Linked DNA regions of Drosophila melanogaster. Changing the gene in region 1 together with any one later gene gives a genetic interaction. Each region holds a gene or a part of one and is shown in the gene's direction. Other genes may lie near its edges. The genes, in order: Ube3a, drl and Rpn10.

The links.
Region 2: of Ube3a (region 1) and drl, changing one suppresses a phenotype caused by changing the other (phenotypic suppression), as found in Drosophila melanogaster (one study listed by BioGRID).
Region 3: of Ube3a (region 1) and Rpn10, changing one suppresses a phenotype caused by changing the other (phenotypic suppression), as found in Drosophila melanogaster (one study listed by BioGRID).

Annotation. Positions count from the first base shown.
Region 1 is NT_037436.4:11,208,581-11,212,333, reverse strand, and holds the start of Ube3a (ubiquitin protein ligase E3A), read left to right. Parts: upstream 1-1,750; 5' UTR 1,751-2,127; coding exon 2,128-2,180; intron 2,181-2,243; coding exon 2,244-2,498; intron 2,499-2,602; coding exon 2,603-3,405; intron 3,406-3,467; coding exon 3,468-3,709; intron 3,710-3,753. Other genes in the region: CG7600 (uncharacterized protein), read right to left, coding at 1-1,397.
Region 2 is NT_033779.5:19,188,328-19,192,080, forward strand, and holds the start of drl (derailed), read left to right. Parts: upstream 1-2,014; 5' UTR 2,015-2,401; coding exon 2,402-2,507; intron 2,508-3,753. Other genes in the region: pigeon, read left to right, coding at 1-204, 264-478, 549-773, 1,119-1,258. UniProt on the Drosophila melanogaster protein: Probable coreceptor of Wnt proteins. Involved in neuronal pathway recognition and ventral muscle attachment site selection. Non-vital for development. May be part of a signal transduction cascade involved in learning and possibly memory.
Region 3 is NT_037436.4:21,534,977-21,538,729, forward strand, and holds Rpn10 (regulatory particle non-ATPase 10), read left to right. Parts: upstream 1-2,023; 5' UTR 2,024-2,136; coding exon 2,137-2,162; intron 2,163-2,263; coding exon 2,264-2,404; intron 2,405-2,464; coding exon 2,465-3,488; 3' UTR 3,489-3,606; downstream 3,607-3,753. Other genes in the region: ppk5 (pickpocket 5), read left to right, coding at 54-314, 367-577, 636-1,221, 1,773-1,885. UniProt on the Drosophila melanogaster protein: Binds and presumably selects ubiquitin-conjugates for destruction.

The DNA of each region.
Region 1 (3,753 bases):
AAAGCGGTGAGCGTGGAGTCGAAGAGAAAGCCCACCCTCTTACCGCTTTTTGGCAAGACAGCCGCTGATATTGCAGCCGATGGAGCAGCCTGCTTTGGGGCACACATATCCTCTTGCTCCAGCTCGGAACTCAGTTCCTGCTCATCGCTGTTGTTCACTCTCTCCTGGGGTGTCGTATTCAGGTTGGCAAAGCTGAAGTCACTCGTGTTGCCATCCGAGGAGAGGTAGCCTATGGAACTGCTGTCCTTATCCTTGTCCTTCTCCCTTTCCTTGGGTGTCTTTGGCGATTTGGGACTTTGGTCGAATTCGAAGCTGCTACTGGTATGCAAATTGTAGTTCAGCGGTGTGATCTGCGGCGTATCTGGCGTTTGCTGCTGGTTGTATCCCTCCCAGCTGGAATGATTCGTCTGATTGACCAGATCTTCTTTGCGATGTGCGAAACCCAGACGGCAGATAAACGATATGGCCTGCTTAACGCTATCCAGTTCCAGTTGCAGCATCTGTGCCAACTCGGCAATGGTCATGTGCTCATCCGCGCTAACGAAGATCTTGTACAGCAGATTCTCAAAGTAGTCCCCGCTCACACGATTCATCACAAAGTTGCGCAGCGGCGGTATGGATATCCTGTCCTCCCCGCTAATGGGCACATCTAAGTAGATCAAACCCTTCCGGTACAGGCTGTGCACCACGTCGTGATCGCATTTCCCAGCCGGCTGGGCTCCAAAGTCAATCAAGTCATCGAGCAGGCCTCTTTCAGCGGGCGACAGATAGCGAATATCCGCTTCCAGGACATAGCCAATGTCCAGTCGCCACCAGGGCTCGATGTGTATGCGCACCGGAAAGCGTGGCAGGAAGTCCAGCGGATTGGGCCGCGACCCGAAGATCAAGGAGCGCGGTGTGTGAGTTTTCATATCGCTAATAAGGGCCAGGTACTCGTTGCGGCCAATGCCCAAGACACGCAGACAGTCGGCTGCTGTAAAGTTGGGCAAAGTATCGTAGCTTTTGTCGCTTTGCAAAAGCTGACCCAAAACATCCAGATAGTAGTTGAAGGGCGTCACCCTCAAGCCCTTGGTGACGATATCGGCCAGGTGGTAGGGAAATGCGCCCAATCCATTGATGCTCTTCTGTATCAATAGCTCGTAGTAGCGTTGCTCCCGGCGAAACACCTTGGCGGCCAGGTTGCCCCGGAACCTCAGCTGATTCTTTAGACTATAGTTAAAGACGAACTTCTCGTAGTCACGCTGATTGTTGTGCAGAACCGATCGCAGGTGCACGGGCAGCAGTTCCCAGGTGACATTCCCACGCACACATTGCTGCAGTTGGTTTTGGCAATTGGTTCCAGAGCCAGTGGTCGCATTGCCACCTCCGCTGGTGGCCAAATCCTCTTGCTCCGTCATCTTGCGACTCGGATTGGTTTCTCCGGCTGGTCGGACTAACTCATTGCATTCGCTCCGGCTACGGAATCCAGTATTTTCTTCCTGCGTATTATTTTTCTTTTTTTTTCGAGGAACGATAGATCCGATAATACGGACACGGTGTTATTGGTTTCATACGTCGACAGCTGATAAGACCGCCGGTGTTTTGCAGCACTGGCGAGCAACCAGTTTTTCGATAGTTCGATTATTATTAGTATTAGTCATAATATCCCTTGGAGTTTCACAATCACGTTTAAAAGTGCAAACATCCAACGGACGTCTATCGGCAGTGACTAACAATACTGTCCGATAAAGAATGTGCCTATCGGTGTGCTGTCGATATCACTAGTTCATCGATAGCACATCGTTTAGAATGATTTTCAATATTCGTTGCTGCCTGCTTCATTCATAAACACTTACGCTATTACAGTCAAAATTGTCAAAACGTTGACGAATTATCGAGCTTTAAAGGATTGCTATCAGATTGCAAGGAAGTCGGCGTTCAGCGCTCGACGAGCGGGCAACAGAGGCAACGGCAGCGGCTGAGTAGCTTCAGCATAAGAATTTTAGGTAGCCGCGACACAAAAAAGGGACATCAACATCGATTTTTTTTTGCTCCCATTTCGTTTTGTGAGTGGAGCAAAATCACTTTCGACAAACAAAGAAAGGGGCGGCGGCGGTGGGGGCGTAAAGTGCGCAGATTTCAGCGAAGATGAACGGTGGCGGGGGTGGCGAGGATGATCAGCATCTGCCAGGTGTTTCCAGGTGAATAACTTCAGCTACTTACGTTGTGGCATATTAAATCTGATTTTCTTTGCCCCCCATCAGTGCATCAGGATCTGCAGCTGGAGCGGTGGGCGGGCGAGCCACGCCCGAAATGAAGCGTTCGGCGGTGCGCAGCCTAATCAAGCGATACTTCCACCAACTACAATCCGGCTGTGGGAACGCCAACTGCAGCAATGCCAATTGCGCCTCCAGCGGCAAGGTGGCGCCCATGACGCCCAACGAGGTGGCCGCCAGAGCACTGCAGCTCTTTTCACAGGATGCACAGCTCTGCGAGGCGTTCACATCGGAGGCCAACAGGTGAGAATTCTCTTAACAAATGGAACTGGGTAGCAAAGTTTCCAGAGCACCGATAAGATTTTCTATAGGTAATTATCTTTCAATTAAATTTTTTCCCATTTTAGCCCCCAGGACGTGGACATGCTTTCGCCGAACGACAGTAGCAGTAGTAGCAGCGGCAGCTCGACAAGCACAATTACCTCAGCCAGTACCACCACGACAACCAGCAGACAATCGCAGTCAACGCCAGCTGCCGTTGTAGTGCCCGTATCCAGTCCATATCTTACCCAGAGTGTGCCGCAACTGGATATCGCCGGCGCTGAACACTCCTCCGGCGACTCGGAACCGTGTACACCCACCCTGGCGCCAGTCCACAGCTTGGATGCCAACAGTCTGATAGCGCTCTATGAGCAATGTAGGGCGGCTGACAGTTACGACAGGATTTGCCACGCAATCGGCGTTGTGTTCTCCAGCGTAGATAGACTGGGCAAGAGCTTCATTCGCAGCGCAGAACCAGCGGCTTCTAGTAGTCTCCAGGAGCTGCTGGCCAATTCACCGGGGGCTTTAAACAAGGAGCAGCTACGAACTTTGGAAGGGGAACACGATAAAGACGAAGACAGTACACAACAGGTGGACGAACAATCAGAATCGGCGGCTAATGCTACTGCTACTGCAGAATCAGTCGAATCAGAGGCGGAGCCCGAAGAAGAGGACGATGATGTGTGTTCATCCCAAAGCAGCGACACACTGGTGGATCTGCCCGGTTTGCGACGAGTGCAGCGTCTCCTTTTTGGCTGTCAAATACGAGCTATAACGGAGAAGCTTACCAGCAGCGTTATTCAGCTGTCTGACTGGGTGATTTACATGCGTACGGATTGGGAGAGGGTCATTCACTGTCTGGTCATCTGCTTTGATCTAGCCACCAATAGTGAGTTTTTCAATTGTATGCCTGGAATGTTTCAAGTTACAGCTTTTCTCATAACCCTTTAGCCAATAACAGTGTGGTGGACATGGACTATCTGGACAGGGTGCTGCCAAAATTGTGCCAAGCGGCGTCGGCCATGCCAGTGCCGGCACAGGCGCGCCTGGCCAGGATCTGGGCTGCTCATTGTTCAGATCAGCTGCATTCGTTGATCGCAGCCTGCCAGCAGCAAATTACTCTACAGGTGCTTTTGGACGAGGAATCCATGCGCGAGAACGAATCCATAATCAGTGTCACCAAAGTTTTAAAGGTATTTGTTAGGTTTATTATGCAATATGGCTTGTAATGCAGTTG
Region 2 (3,753 bases), on another chromosome or scaffold:
GAAGCACACGTCAAAGCCCAACACTGGCTTCCGCTGGCTGAAGGAGACCTTTTTCGAGCGCTCCCAGGCTCCAGCTCATGTGCATGCGGTGGCCTCCCAGTTCGTTTCCGCGCAGCTTGAACTCTCGCGGGCTCTTTGCTCTCTGGTTTGTCGTGCTGCAGGCCTAGATGCGCGCATGGAGACCTCGAGGGGTTTTCAGTTGATGTGAGTTGGTGATGATTTCAAATGTGATCACTTTTCACTCACGTCTGTAATGATTGCAGTGACCAAATGGCTGCCAATCAACAGCACTCTCTGTTTCTAATCCTCGAGCGCTATTGCCTGGCTGTGGAATCGATTGCGTTTCCCCTGCCCGAGGGTTTCTCCTCGTTCTTCACCTACTTGGGCTATCGTGCGCTGGGCTATGATATGTTTCTGCAGTATGTGGAAAATCATGTGTTCGAACTGCAAGTGGATGTGATGAAGGCCATTGTTTTCGGTTTGTAACAAATATATATACTTGTTTTCATATACTGTTCATTTCATTATTGCTTAATGTATTCCTTCAGATATTGAAGATTCTCCACTGGGCATTGAGCGGAAGCTATCACTTTTGTCTGCTCTGCCCAAGCAGCGTGCTCAAAGGTTACTCAAATGCTGGCAGCATCCGGACAGCCTTATGATCCGCGGACGCGAGCATGCGGCCAACATTCTGTCGGGTCAGCAGCAGGAGGTGTTGCACCAGCAGCGACCCACGGCCTGCGTGAATCAATCGCGAAATAATGCGCGGAGCGGTAAGATCTTGCTTGGTTAGCCCGCCATAAACACGTTAACTTTTCATTTGTACACTCTTCACCCGAACACATCTCGTCCAGCTTTGGGCAAGCCCAACACTGTTGTTTGTCACTCGCTGCTTTTGGTTTTTCTGCTTTTCATTCTAACCACGGTCGTCCTGAGCATATCGAGCTATGCGTTCAGGCAGCGCCCTCTCATCTGGTAGAAAACATTCCCATCGCTGACCGGTAAGAAACGCTGTTCAGTGTTCGCCAGTCGTTGTCCCATTTGCACATTTTGTTTCTTGTTATCTAACTTAACCATAGCCACCTCTCTAATGACCAATTTGGTTGGTATTCTTGCAGATCTAACTGCCGAAGCCCTTTCGCCACTGGACTCCTTTCTGGACCTGCTGACTGCGAAGGCCAGTCTAAACGAATTGGACTACAATCTGCTTATTGAAACTACTCTAAGCTCCATCGATCAGCTGAAACTGGAGGCTTGAATTTAATGTTAAGAGTAACTAATGAAGTATTGTGTCAAATTATCAAGTACTTAGCCAAGGCCAGTTTGCAAATATTCCAAAGATTTGATTTGTCAAATGTATTAGTTAAGATTCTTCTCGTGCAGCTTTGATTTTTGTTAGGGTTCTTCTGTGTGCTTTTAGTATTAATTTTCTGTTCCTATTATTTGTGTAACGACTGATACACATTCCAAGTCTGTAATTATAAATTATTTATGTTGTTAATTGATGTACCTAAAATCATGTACGTATTTATATATTCTGTACTTATTTATTTTATGCTTCTGCAAGCTTCTGTCTCTCTTTCTGTAATAAACTAACGATTTATAAAGTATAAAATGTCGTAATGTTTATTTTTGGCAACATGAGTTTAATTCGAAATTGAATCAAACACAATAAAAAAAAGTTAAAAGGTTAAAATCATTATATTACATCATTAATTCGAATTCATTTGGGAAGTTTGTGGGTCTATTTTTTAAACTTTATATGAATGTTTGTTTAGTTAATTTAATAAAGGATATCGAACAGTATGCCAGTTTTGGTATTTAGCCAATTGGAGATGTTCGATGAGATGTTCGAACTGCAACCGAGTTCGAGGTTCCAACACGACTGTTATACGGGTTCCAGCCTTCAAGTTCTACAGAACAAGTCCACGAGCGCCACACACAGTCCACAGTCCACACTCCACTCCGCTCGGCGTGGAAGCCATTCGCTTCGTGGCGAAGTGTTTGTTTATCCAGTTGACAGTTTGTGGAAAATCGTCACGGTGAGCGGATCAAACGCGGAAAACGAACGCGGACGAACGGCGAGAAAAGCGAGGAAAAACGGGTGCAGAGACAGAGACTGATTGGGAAATATGTGCGCCTGAGTTTTCCCGGCCAGAAGGCAAAGTGCCAAATGCTCTGACAAATAATTCCTGTAATAATCAGCGCGATTGAAATCAACGCGACGCTCGTAAAATTGCAAATGCAGCGCAAAAAGTGAACAGCAGTGCAGCGGAAATTAAATCGTTTTAGCGAGTGCCAAACGGGAAATAGAAAATCGGCAGAGTAGCCGAACTGCAGTTAAAACTATCTCTTCCTCTTATTGCGACTAAACAACCGGCGGATTAATCGAATCCGAAAGATGGCCCCCAACTTGCTAACAATCGGATTACTTTTGACCCTGATCGCCAGCGGTCAGGCCCATCTCAATATTTTCCTCAACTTGCACGAGGTGCTGCGCCTAATCGGTAAGTAATCGTGTTGATTTTCGCCTGCCTTTTGGCTTTTCAATTAACTGGGCAATTATTTGCCACTTTGTGTGCGTTCGTTCGACTTTAAATCAAATTTGATTTATGCCAAGCCGGGATTTTGTCTCCTGGGCAAACGAATGCGACTTGCTGGGATTATTTACTCTTTTTGCGTAAATAATATATGCCTTTTAATTGTTTCTAGCCTCGGAGCTACATATAAAGTAGTATTGTCCCTCCTTCAATTGGCCAGCTCACCGAGAAACAAGAAAACATTCTATTTGTCTAGCATGATTTCCTGTTTCTTTGATTTAATTGTTCGTTAGACTTATCTAGATAAATAGAAATGCTAAAGCGATTTAAATTTGTATTTCTTTGCGTTAAATTAAATTCGATTGGCAAGTGGATTCATCTCTAGATAAGTAATCCCTCTATAATCAAAGTTTTTATTTAAAAAATCATATTTTTTCATAGTTTATCCAATTTAAAACAATACAAAACAATTTTAGATATATTTTATAAACGTCTTCAAAAGAAAATAAATAGTAAAATCATGTAGTCAAAAAATGACACCAAAATGAGTATTTAAATATTTAGTTTAGTTTAGTTTATATTATTTATTTAGCCTAACTATTTTCCATAGAAGAATACTACTCTAATAAGCTTAAAAATCCGAGTGACTGATTCTTAGCCCTTATCAAAACAGATTTGTTTATCTCCATCTAATAACCAGGTTTCCACTTGGCCAAGCAAATCGGCTTGGGATAGCTCGAGTCCGCAGCCCAAGTACCTTTAATCTACTTTTATATTTATACCTCGCCCCGATCCCCATCCCCAACCTCGTCTTCTTGGACCCAAGCCATTCCCCGCCAGAAAGAAACACACACAAATCCTGTCGAAGAGATTGCCAAGCTAATAAAAGTGGGGAAAATTGTTTTACAATGTGTCACAGGGCCCAGACAAAGAATTTACAACCCAGTGAATATAAAAAATAAATCAGTAGCCTCAATCCATGGGCCAAAAGGAAAGGGTGAAGCGGCCCAAGTTGTGCCACATCCATGTGGCATCATAAAACACATGCAAAGTGTTTGTTTTGTAGGCAGTGTGTTCTGTGGATCGGGGGCGCAGGGAGCTGTATAGCTGATAGGGAAAAATTATCAAAAATTATGTTGTAAAATTTACAACACTCGCGTGTTTGTGCCTCCGGCTGATTGATGGGCGTCAGGAGTTTCGGAGTGCGGAGTGC
Region 3 (3,753 bases), about 10 Mb from region 1:
GTAAGTATCATTCAAGTCCCATGGAAACCCAATTATATAATAAACTCTATTAGGGGCTCCATAAGATACGCCATGCTTCAAAAGACCTGCTATAAGGAGTCAAATTTCTCGCAATACATGGATACTCAGCACAGAAATGAAACATTCTCAAATTTCATATTGGATGTTTCCGAGAAGTGTGCAGATCTGATAGTATCCTGCATATTTCATCAACAAAGGATACCCTGCACTGACATCTTTAGAGAAACTTTCGTGGATGAAGGATTGTGCTGCATATTTAATGTCTTGCATCCGTATTATCTTTATAAGTTCAAGTAGGGTTCAACGAAGGTCAAAAGAACGAATAACTTACTTACTCATTTAAAGATCGCCCTACATTCGGGACTTCACTTCGTCCGACAGGTTTGCAGATATCGCCGTGGACTGGGATCCAATATCTGGCTACCCACAGAGACTACCCTCAAGTTACTATCCGCGTCCGGGAGTTGGAGTTGGTACCTCGATGGGTCTGCAAATCGTTCTCAACGGTCACGTGGACGACTATTTCTGCTCCTCCACAAACGGACAGGGCTTTAAGGTAAGTTGTGTTGTACGCTTTTTGCCCAGCTAGCTTATACCTTTCAGATACCTTTCAGATACTCCTGTATAATCCGATAGACCAGCCGCGCATGAAGGAGTCAGGATTACCTGTGATGATTGGGCACCAGACGAGTTTTCGCATCATAGCTAGAAACGTTGAGGCTACACCCTCTATAAGGAATATTCACAGGACGAAACGCCAGTGTATTTTTAGTGACGAACAGGAATTACTCTTCTATCGCTACTATACGCGCCGAAACTGCGAGGCCGAGTGCGACTCCATGTTTTTCCTGAGACTTTGCAGTTGTATTCCCTACTACCTACCACTAATTTATCCCAACGCCTCAGTGTGCGATGTGTTCCACTTTGAATGTCTGAATCGGGCAGAGTCCCAGATCTTCGACCTACAGAGCTCTCAGTGCAAGGAGTTTTGCCTGACCAGCTGCCACGACCTAATTTTCTTTCCCGATGCATTTTCCACTCCATTCAGCCAAAAGGACGTCAAGGCACAGACCAACTACTTGACGAATTTCTCAAGTGAATACATGCGCAAAAACTTGGCGGTAGTAAACTTTTTTCACACCGACAACTATTTCAGGAGCAGTGTAAGGACTTCGTATACCGGACCCACTGAATATATGGGTATGCTATTTATTAAATTTTTTAGATCTTAAATACTTTCTACGTTATTGTTATATCGTTACTAGAACAGTAATTGCAATTCCGATAATATTCCGAGTCTATCAGGGATGCCCGTCCGTCTGATAGTATAAACGTCCATGTTTTTTTTTTTTTAACTCGAGGGGGTATTTTAAGTCGATTAATAAAAACAGTCCATGTAGTGACGATGTTCACCCGGAGTGTAATGCACAATAAGAGAGTGTGTAATGCACAATCTGCTTAAAAAATCCAAATATTACCGTTTATCAGAAGGTATTTTTATGCTCAAAGTTGCATACTTAGGAGTTAATTTATTTGATACAAATCAAATATTACTATTTGTCGTTACATAACGTATGTAACTCGTCACCTCGTAAGGAAATATTTTTGCTTGATTTTGCCTAGTACCATACAAAAGAGCTTCAGGCTTATCCAAAATTGATAAAAACAAATTATACAACTTTTATATAGAGATGGTTTTAGAATTCAAGGCAGTTGACTAAAGCGTTGTATCTTCCTTGTATCTTTTCCAGCGTCAACTGGTGGAATCATGAGCCTAATGATTGGTTTCAGTGTAATATTCCTTGCGGAGATAATATACATCATTTTGTTTGTTTCAACATTGTTGCTTATATTAATATTCTGAATTAGTAAATAAAATAAACAACTTTAAATGTGTTACATAATCTAAATTACTTTTCCACAGGACTAACATTAAATAATGGACTGGTGTAGAAAAATGTAAAAGAATGTACATATGTAAATATAATCAAACAAAAATATCGCACAACGGTCATACAAATCCGATATTTTAATGCCGATAGTTCAGGCAGCACAGCACCTGGCAACCCTGGGGAATTACAGTTCAGTGGCAAAGTGACAAGCAAAAATACGAAAATGGTTCTGGAGAGTACTATGATATGGTAAATTATTGTTTTTTGAGCAATACGAAGAGCTTCCGCTAGTTTTCCCGTACTGCTTGCAACGGCACACAGTCTGGCACTCATATTTTGCTCTTTTCCAGCTTTGATAACAGCGACTTCCAGCGCAACGGAGACTACTTTCCAACTCGTCTCATCGTCCAGAGAGATGGCATCAATCTGGTCTGCCTGACCAAGCTGCGTTCCAATCCCGAGAACAATGTGGGCCTGATGACTCTGTCCAAGTGAGTGTGGAGCGTTTGTGCCCATGCCACATATTCATTATGTCTTTGTTTATACCTCAGCACCGTTGAAGTGCTGGCCACTCTTACTAGCGATGCAGGACGGATTTTCTCAAAGATGCATCTGGTTCAGCCGAAGGGCGAGATAAACCTCCTGACCGGAATCCGAATTGCCCATCTGGTGCTGAAGCATCGCCAAGGCAAGAACCACAAAATGCGCATCGTGGTCTTTGTGGGCTCCCCCATCAATCACGAGGAGGGCGATCTAGTGAAGCAGGCCAAGCGCCTCAAGAAGGAGAAGGTCAACGTAGACATAGTTAGCTTCGGTGATCATGGCAACAACAACGAGATTCTCACAGCATTCATCAACGCGCTTAATGGCAAGGACGGCACCGGCTCCCATTTGGTCAGCGTGCCTCGGGGATCAGTTTTGTCGGATGCCCTGCTGTCGTCACCCATCATTCAGGGCGAGGACGGCATGGGCGGAGCTGGCCTGGGCGGCAACGTCTTCGAATTCGGTGTAGATCCCAACGAGGACCCCGAACTGGCTCTCGCCTTGCGTGTGTCTATGGAGGAGCAACGGCAGCGCCAGGAGAGCGAGCAACGTCGCGCCAATCCCGATGGGGCTCCACCGACTGGCGGAGATGCTGGTGGCGGAGGCGGCGTTTCGGGATCTGGACCTGGAAACGAAGAAAGTGCCGGAGCAGAGAACGAAGCCAACACCGAGGAGGCCATGCTGCAGCGTGCCCTGGCCCTGTCCACCGAAACACCCGAGGACAACTTGCCGGACTTTGCTAACATGACTGAGGAGGAACAGATTGCCTTCGCTATGCAGATGTCCATGCAGGACGCTCCCGACGACTCTGTTACCCAGCAAGCAAAGCGCCCAAAGACGGACGAGGCAAACGCTCCCATGGACGTGGACGAGGATTACTCGGAGGTGATCGGAGACCCGGCCTTCTTGCAGAGCGTGCTGGAGAATCTGCCTGGTGTTGATCCCCAGTCGGAGGCGGTGCGCGATGCTGTCGGTTCACTCAACAAGGACAAGGACAAAAAGAGCGACGGCAAGGACTCGCAAAAAAAATAAACCGCATCTATGATTATATCTAATAAGCTCGTTTAAAGCATTTGTATGCCCATTAAAATCATTTGTAGCCGTCTTTCAAATTATGCTTCAAGTGAAAATATATAAACAAATACACACGATCTGCTGCTGACTTAATTGACTGCGAGGGTCTTTTCATTCACTGCATGTCTAGTAAAAATAATTTTCTAGTCCTGATAGTGGCCGGTCGACTCGGGTAAGCATGTTTATTAGGGAAGCATATGCATAATGCTTCTTCTATCTGTCA